2 linked regions of the Arabidopsis thaliana genome follow. The protein of the gene in region 1 interacts with the protein of each later gene in a biochemical or structural test. Each region holds a gene or a part of one and is shown on either strand. Other genes may lie near its edges.

Region 1 (5,632 bases):
GACGTATAGGAAACAAACGAAAAATGATTTTAAAAAAAATATTAATCACGAGGTATATATGTGAATACACATATATTAATGTATGTTGGTAAAATTGGATATTGTGATATGAAGCAACTCGTTTGGACCCCCTTTAGGTGAGGTGGTACTATCAATTTACGAAACGCAAATCATGCATATTATTCATCATGTCTACCTATATTTGTAAGATTTAGTTTTCTCTAATGATTAATCAAGTACTATCATTAGTAAAATCTCTCGAATATATAATATGGATTGCAAAAATATCACATTAATTACCAATCTTTTTTTCTCTATAAAGTACCAGTTAAAATACCACATAGCAGAAGTTATATTCTTAAACAGATCGTTTTCTAAATTTCATGTTAAATTATATTCAAAGTACAAATCTTTTGTAATGGTATTTTTAAAAATGATTATAAACTTGATATTTCATATAGTTAGTTTTGTTGTTTTGTAGGATCATGTAAATTGCTCGTTTTTCAAAATTGATGACTATCTATCTTTTTGACTATACATGCTTTGTCTAATTGTATGTTACTTTCGACACCTTAATTTGTTGATAATATATAAACAAGTGCTTAAAAGAGTATATATAGAAAAAGTAAGGGGGTTCAGTTGATCTGAATGGAAAGTTAAAAAAGTGATCATTCATCACGGTCGAATTTGATCATATATATAAGTTTATGGTAACGTATAACGGTAAAAGCCAGTAAATTTATAGAAGGAATTCCAAATTAAATAATTCTTTAAAATTTCAGTTGAATAAAAGTTCCCAAAGTTAAAATCTTTTTTTTTTTCCAAGACATAATCAAGTAACTTAAGTAAATGTCGGTTTTAGCACAATAATGCAAGAAAGGAAACCTTTAGATCTCTATTGGTCAAAGTAGGGGACAGTGATGTAATTCAAGTCATCGATCTACTGACTACTGGTGTTTGAAGGGGATTACCGACAATGTTCCTATGACGGCGCGTACCTTCCACGCGTCTGTAAAAGAGAGAGACAACTAATAATACAAATCCTAACGCTTAAGCTCTACTATATCGTTTTAACAGTAGTGATCCATATATATGTCCTGTTGAAATTATTTGTTGAACAATAAGATTAAGGGATCACAAAACTACTCCAGCATATACTACTTGGATATGTAGCTCTTGTAAGGCTTAATTTAGATGGTAAGATATAAACATCGAATTTAAGAATAGTCATCAAGAACAGCTTAGGAAACTTCAAATGGCAGATCGAATTTGGATGACAAGTAAGAACACGGTGGGGGGGTTTTTTTTTAACCATAAAGTTATGCTTAACGTTTAGTGATGTGGCTTCCTAACGAATCTATACAACATCAAGTCATCAAATGTAAGTACATTTTGTTGACTAAAACATTGGAAGTGCATGGAATTCAGACACTAGACTAAAGATAAAGATCCTTGCTTTCATTGGGCTGCTCTTTTTTGGTCAGCTTAACTTTTTGACTTAAGAAAAAATAGTCTGTCACCTTCCCTCACCAACTCCTAGTTCATTTCATTTCCACTTCAACCTCTTCAGAACTAAGTAAACTATATAGTCTTCGCATTTAGCTAGTTATGCTTTATAAATTATTAGTACTAACTTTTTGGCGAAGCAATCCGCACACAGATTAGCCCATTTTCCGGTGGGTTTAAGAATCTTCGTCGTGACTAAATATTCAGTACCAAAACAGGCCCATTTATGGCCCAATATAAAAAGCGTCGTCCGTCCACTTAAACTCTTGGCGATCTTTCCCACTTAAAAAAAAAGCGATTGGCTTATCCCTCCGTTGAAAAGACGAAGTAAAATCAGTCAAAACACATCTCCACCGTTCAGTCGCTTCATCACATATATCCAACGGCTGAAAATCATCTAAGCCTGTGGACTTGGAAGCAAAGAGATAATGCTGAGGCGCGTGAGGCACAGTCGCCAACAGAAAATCGGGATGTTTTTTTTTAACTGCAAAGCCAAAGAGACAATTGTATGGTCTCTGGTAAAGGTAAGGCAATCAAAAAAAATATGGCTGCGTCTCCCAAGATAGGCATCGGTATTGCCTCCGTCTCATCGCCTCACCGTGTCTCCGCCGCCTCATCCGCTCTTTCTCCTCCTCCTCATCTCTTCTTTCTCACTACTACTACTACCACACGTCACGGCGGCTCCTATCTCCTCCGTCAACCAACCCGAACTCGCTCTTCTGATTCCCTCCGCCTCAGAGTCTCCGCCACCGCCAATTCTCCGTCTTCTTCTTCTTCAGGAGGTACTTGAGGAGTTCCTCTTTGCTTCTTTCTTAAGGTTTTTGGCAGTGTAAGTAATCGAGCTCTGTGTTGGTTTTTTAATAATTAATTGCAGGCGAGATTATCGAGAATGTAGTGATTATAGGCTCCGGTCCCGCCGGTTATACGGCGGCGATATATGCAGCGCGCGCCAATTTGAAGCCGGTGGTTTTTGAAGGGTATCAGATGGGCGGAGTTCCCGGTGGACAGTTGATGACAACTACTGAAGTTGAGAATTTTCCGGGATTCCCAGACGGTATCACGGGTCCCGATTTAATGGAGAAGTGAGCTATAACATAGTCTGATTCTTTTGTTAGTTTGTGGCGTTTCTTATATGTTTCTGATGCAATTATTTATTGTGTGAAAATTGTAGAATGAGAAAGCAAGCAGAGAGGTGGGGAGCAGAGTTGTATCCAGAAGATGTTGAATCTCTTAGTGTCACAACTGCTCCTTTTACTGTGCAAACTAGTGAACGTAAGGTGATTATCTTTCTTTGTTTTCTCACTATTTCTTTTTCAAATTCTAAATAGTTTTTTTTTTTTGGCTTCAGCTCTCTTCTGATGTTTCCATTTTTTATAGGTCAAGTGCCATAGTATTATATATGCCACTGGCGCTACAGCAAGGAGGTTAAGGTTACCTCGAGAGGAAGAATTCTGGAGTAGGGGGATAAGTGCTTGTGCTATCTGTGATGGAGCTTCGCCTTTATTTAAGGGGCAAGTACTTGCCGTGGTTGGAGGAGGAGATACGGCTACAGAGGAAGCCTTGTATCTCACGAAATATGCCCGTCATGTTCATTTGCTTGTTCGCAGAGATCAGTTGAGAGCTTCCAAGGCTATGCAAGATAGGTGAGTTCTTATATTCATCACGTCTGCCTTATATTCTACTCCTCTTCTTTGATTTCTGAAGATAAACAGTTAAAACTAGATAAATGCTATGTCCAAACTAGGAAATGTGTTTTGTCATAGCTATGTTGAGCGTTCTTTGTTGCATGTATTGACTGCTATCCCCTGTTCCCTCGCAAATCCATTGGATATATCTGGGAAAGCCTTTGGTTATGATTTCCGTTGCATGTAAATTTATAACCAACCAGTAGAGTGCTTTTTTTTTTTGCTGGCTATCGGAATTATAGACTAATGAGCACAACGTAAGTTGAGTCTTTTCAACACCCTGAGTGTTTTTTTAACAGGTTGGTTATGGCGAATGTTTCAGAGTGATCAACAATCCAAACATCACAGTGCATTACAACACGGAAACCGTGGACGTATTGAGCAACACCAAGGGACAGATGTCTGGCATTCTACTCAGAAGACTTGATACGGGTGAAGAAACTGAGCTGGAGGCAAAAGGATTGTTTTATGGAATAGGGCATTCGCCAAACAGTCAGTTATTGGAAGGCCAAGTCGAACTCGACAGCTCCGGGTACGTCTTGGTTCGGGAAGGAACATCAAATACATCAGTTGAAGGTGTATTTGCTGCAGGAGATGTGCAGGTATTCTTCGGAACTTTTAGCAATTTTTCGGTGTTGGTATTAACTCTTTTAAGTCATATTGGTTCGATAATTGTGTTTGCTATATTCTCCTATTTGTCACTCTAGGACCACGAATGGAGACAAGCTGTAACTGCTGCTGGATCAGGATGCATAGCTGCTTTGTCAGCCGAGAGATACCTCACAAGTAACAATCTTCTTGTTGAATTTCACCAGGTAGGAAATATTCAGAAATATCTTATCTCTTAAGCACACGTCACAAGGCTTACTCTCTTTCATGTTCACGTTACAGCCTCAAACTGAAGAGGCCAAGAAAGAATTCACACAACGGGATGTCCAAGAAAAGTTTGACATCACTCTTACAAAGCACAAGGGACAGGTTTGTTAACATATGAACCTTAACTTGTTACCTACAAGCATTTTCTCTGCCTCACATCTTTCTCCTTATGTTTTTTCCCCTGCTTTCAGTATGCTCTTAGAAAACTATACCATGAGAGTCCAAGAGTTATATTGGTACTATACACTTCACCAACATGTGGCCCCTGTAGGACTCTGAAGCCTATTTTGAACAAGGTATTCCTTTATTAGTCGAAATGAAACTCATCGGAAGAGATCTTTTTGGACTGATTTACTTGACCATTTGTTCACTTCTCCTTCATTTTGTTTCAGGTGGTCGATGAGTATAACCATGATGTGCATTTTGTTGAGATTGACATCGAGGAAGATCAAGAAATTGCTGAAGCAGCTGGAATTATGGGAACCCCATGTGTGCAGTTCTTCAAGAACAAGGAAATGCTCAGGTTAGGAAACGTTCTCTCAGTTTTAAAATTGCATAGATTATTGTGTTCAGGTTTGGCTAAAGATTCCGAGTCTGTGTAGGACTATATCGGGTGTGAAGATGAAGAAAGAGTACCGAGAATTCATTGAGGCCAATAAATGAGGACACCAGATAGATATTGTTTCTGGCAGATGCCAAATCTTATCATGATTCAATTTTGTTCATTCAAATACTTTGGAGTTACTGGAGCAACGCCATTGAATCTCAAATGTAAACAAATAGAATCATCATCTTAAGCTGCACGCATAATGTGGTACAATTTGCTTTAAGATTTTACAAAACAACTACCCGTTTTGAATTGGGGTGGTCAGTTTCAGTTTCAGGGACATCGTCAAGGATAAAGGGACCAAGTCTACCTGTCCTAAACAAAGTAAGAAATTTCTTGGAGACCATTAACCTTGCTTCGGATGCTTTGTGAGGAATCTTCAATGCCTTTTGTAGAACTTCAAACTGTTGCTCTATCAAACATTCTAAATCATTCTCATCCTCCGTGTCCCCATCAAATTCTGAGAGTGTTATATACAGTGATCGTTGCACTTCTGAAATCATATCCTGTAGATGACAGGGAACCTTTCATTGGTCAGGACAATTTCAGAAGGAAAGCAAGGTAGAGATATAAGGTTATTATGCTAACCCCGACATAGTGCAGAGCAGATGAATCTGGTTGTTTGGTTCTCTGGTGTCGAAGATCCTTTAAGTTATAGCTTGGCTTATCGATGCAGTCTGCATGAGGCCCTTCGTTTATTCCCTCAACTAAGTACTTCCAATGAAGAGGAGTCCCTCGAATGTTTAGAATAGCTAGAAAGTATTGTGCAATCCGCTCTTCACCCACTACTGAATCTTTAACGGACCCTTAGAATGTCAAACGCATAACAATTAGCTAGAGAGATCATATGCTGTAAGAAATACGGCCCTATATTAGAGAAAAACTAAGAACTGAGATTATAAGACCTAAACTGTATCATCATTTGATGAACTAAATCTAGTGTACGGGTTTACACGAT
Region 2 (3,600 bases), on another chromosome or scaffold:
TATTATGTTACAACCTTATACTCTTTTTTTACGAACCTTGGTTTTAGCTTCATATAATATGTTGTGGTATGACTTTCTTTGCTTGAAAGACTTTGGTCTAATGCTGTTGAACCTTCATGCGAGAGTTTTTATGGTGGCTTGGGAAGCTTGTCAAAGGACCACCCCTCATCATGCTCGCTTAACGTCTTCAAGTCATACACCTCACTTCATGTTTGCTATTGTTTGCCTAACCTCAACTTTCATTCGGCATCAATTCTAGCAAATAAATCCAAGCACCAGAGCACCATCACCACTACCCAAACCTTTGTCAAAGCTCTACTTCATGTAGCTCTCCTCGTGCCGGCGAGAATCATGTCTTTGACCCCTTCATTAACGCCACTTCGTCTTTTGACAGAGACAATTTGTTTTTCCTTTGAATCGCTCTTGAAAGAGTCGTCGATAAACTTTGATCTCACAAGTACCATAAGCATCTTTGCTTTTGGCTCAAAACTCTCAAGGACCCTTTGTCGATTAGCCCTATCTATCTTTTTATCATTTTTCTGGTAACTTTTGGAGTATGCCCCTTATTGTTGTGCTTTAAACTTTGGAACTTTTTCCCTTTATCTTTGTATTTGGCTTCTACATTATGGAATGAAAACAAACATTGTCCAAAAATAAAATAAAAAAAACAATGAGGAAAAAAATCAAACAAAAATAGGAGAATCATAGTCATATTTTTGGATTTAAATTCAAATCTTTTTCCATGGTACATAATCTGCAGCATTTACAGCAAAAATGAAACAAAATCTGTTAGTTTTAAATTTAAAGATATGTTTGCACCCTATAATAATCTCACATAAGTTCTTAAAGATTGAAAAACAAAAATGGTTGCATATGTCAAGAACAACTTTTTATTGGTTCATATAGTAGTTTTACTTCTTTTTGTTGTCTCATCATATGCAAGATTTAATACGAAGGTTACAACAGATGAAATATGTGGCATGTGCGCACGCAGAGCAGTCAATGCGTCATTTTGCTATGAGTTCATGAAATCATCCACTCAAGTTGCAACATTGGATACTTATGATCTCGCCAAATTTTTGATCAATTATGATTTTCAAAACACCTTTGATCTAATAAAGCATTTCCAGTCACTCACAAACAGCACAACCGATCCCAGTTCTAAGGGTTCTTATGAGCTATGTTTACATCTTTTTAATCTTATCAATCCTCTTGAAACCGCACTTAAAGCTTTGGCAACCAATGACTATGACACTTTAAACAGGAATGTTGATGCTATGTCTCAATTCGCGATGGAATGTGAAAGCGAGCTGTCAAGTGTCATCAAGCCTATTCCAAAGCTCTTGAAAAGGGTTTCTATCGTCGAAAATGTATCCGACATTATTTTTGTAATTGTGGAATGTTTTTTAAGAAAAGAAGAAACTTCATGTAAGGAATCAGTATCAAATCTACAATAATAAATTAATAATCATAATGTTGTTTGGTATGATGTTGCCATTACCGATTTACACCGATAATTAATTGTTTTAGTGTTAAGAAAAATCGAAATCCACCACAAGAGCATACCAAATCACGAAAAAGCTTGTTTGATAGATCGGATTGGACCGGCTTTCGTATTTGAAAAAGTCATCGTTCACCTGTGAAAAATTACGCAACTCCGGCGAGGACTATTTTCAACTATGGGCCTAGCCCCAATTAGTCCAATTAGTAAGGAGCTTAAAATGGTTTTCTCAAAGTACGGGGCAAAAGTAAAAGAATAAAAAAGTAGTGGACCTTGAGAAAAGTCATCACCAGCTTTCCTTCCTATGCCACACAAACGTGTTCTTCTGAATATGAGTCAAACACAGAGAAGATTAGGAGAACGTGGAAGAAGAAGCCATGGACTCTATCGTCTCCAGTTCGACGATTCTTATGCGATCATATCTCACTCCTCCGGTTCGTTCATGTTCTCCGGCAACCTCCGTTTCCGTCAAACCTCTGAGCTCAGTCCAGGTCACCTCCGTCGCGGCTAACCGCCACCTGCTTTCGTTAAGCTCCGGTGCTAGAAGAACCAGAAAAAGCTCTAGTTCGGTGATAAGATGCGGCGGAATCAAAGAGATTGGAGAGAGTGAGTTTTCGAGTACGGTTCTCGAATCAGCCCAGCCGGTTTTGGTTGAATTCGTCGCTACTTGGTGCGGTCCCTGCAAATTGATCTATCCAGCTATGGAAGCCTTATCTCAGGTTTGATACATTTAATCTCTCTTTTGTAATCATCAGTTCTTGCTGGAGAATCGTGAGAGTTTGAAATTGAATGAGATCGTCAGAGATTTTCACGCATGATTTGGTGGTACAAACTTGGGATTTGAGATTTTATGTATGAGAAACTATTGTTAATCATATACCATTAGCTCTACAACTACTAAAAATGTCAGTTAGTGACTACTGTTTAGAGTTGAGCTTCCTTTTGCAAGTGCTTAGAGAATAAATTCAGTTCTGAGTGTTTTTAGTTGTCTTGGTTATTTAAACTCAAAATGTTTCCTTTGTTTCTCAGGAATATGGTGACAAATTGACGATTGTAAAGATTGATCACGACGCTAATCCAAAGTTAATAGCGGAGTTCAAGGTTTATGGTTTACCGCATTTCATTCTCTTCAAGGACGGGAAGGAAGTTCCAGGGAGCAGAAGGGAAGGTGCTATTACAAAGGCCAAGCTTAAGGAGTACATTGATGGTCTCTTGAACTCAATATCTGTTGCTTAATCGTCTCTCTCCCCACCGGTATTCTTCTGTCTCAACACTGTTTTTTTAATGTAATCAAATCTCTTCAATTGTGATGATCTTCATCCCCGGTTTCTCATTTGATGTGTATATCTTGCAACAAATTTTACGAATAGAAAAGAGTTGTTCTCTTATCAGGGAAATATGTATTTAGGCTTATTTGCTTATGCTTGCAACAAATCTAGTTAGGTTTTTGCATTTCTTACAGATAATCTCATTTGTTGGTAAAAAGAAAAGAAAATCAAATGCAACTGGATGCCAAGAAACAAATTCTGCTTGGATTTTATTGGAATGAATCAGGTTAAAGAATTCAACATTTAAGATTTTTTCAACAACTTCCATTCTTCTTCTTCTTTTCGTCTCGGCTGCAGATTCTCACATCTTGCTGCCTTATTTTCCCTTGAAAAAGCAACCAAAAACCCGTGCTTAAGCAAAACCAATGCCTAGAACTTTGAAACATTTCACTTTCTTGGCTCTTCAAACCTCCTTGACGTAGTTTTCTTCACCTCCTCCAATAACAGCATCATCTGGCATGTAACGTTTCCAGAACGGATGTTGCTTCCATACTCTTCCCATTTCTTCAATTGGAACCCCTTTTGTCTCCGGCAACAAGAAGTAGATGAAGACGGTCATGACTGCAACCATTCCTCCAAAGAAGTAGAAGAGACCAAACTTCATGTGGCAAAGCATCGTGAGGAAAAACTGTCCAATGAGGAAAGTGAAGAACATGTTGACAGAGACGTTGATGGCTTGTCCCGCTGGTCTGATTTCCAATGGACAGATCTCACTTGGTACTAACCATCCTAATGGACCCCATGACCATGCAAATCCTGCAACATACAAAC

What was found.
Region 2: the proteins of NTRC (region 1) and THX form a complex in vitro, tested with the Arabidopsis thaliana proteins (one study listed by BioGRID).

What each region holds. Positions count from the first base shown.
Region 1 is NC_003071.7:17,375,447-17,381,078, reverse strand, and holds NTRC (NADPH-dependent thioredoxin reductase C), read left to right. Parts: upstream 1-2,019; 5' UTR 2,020-2,050; coding exon 2,051-2,288; intron 2,289-2,380; coding exon 2,381-2,588; intron 2,589-2,677; coding exon 2,678-2,783; intron 2,784-2,883; coding exon 2,884-3,149; intron 3,150-3,513; coding exon 3,514-3,793; intron 3,794-3,898; coding exon 3,899-4,006; intron 4,007-4,082; coding exon 4,083-4,169; intron 4,170-4,258; coding exon 4,259-4,363; intron 4,364-4,459; coding exon 4,460-4,590; intron 4,591-4,669; coding exon 4,670-4,730; 3' UTR 4,731-4,901; downstream 4,902-5,632. Other genes in the region: AT2G41670 (P-loop containing nucleoside triphosphate hydrolases superfamily protein), read right to left, coding at 4,902-5,180, 5,263-5,480. UniProt on the Arabidopsis thaliana protein: Thioredoxin reductase (TR) that exhibits both TR and thioredoxin (Trx) activities. Contains a C-terminal functional Trx domain.
Region 2 is NC_003070.9:18,637,743-18,641,342, reverse strand, and holds THX (thioredoxin X), read left to right. Parts: upstream 1-1,806; 5' UTR 1,807-1,878; coding exon 1,879-2,220; intron 2,221-2,530; coding exon 2,531-2,737; 3' UTR 2,738-2,959; downstream 2,960-3,600. Other genes in the region: AT1G50325 (Plant invertase/pectin methylesterase inhibitor superfamily protein), read left to right, coding at 864-1,457; STP9 (sugar transporter 9), read right to left, coding at 3,233-3,600. UniProt on the Arabidopsis thaliana protein: Probable thiol-disulfide oxidoreductase that may participate in various redox reactions.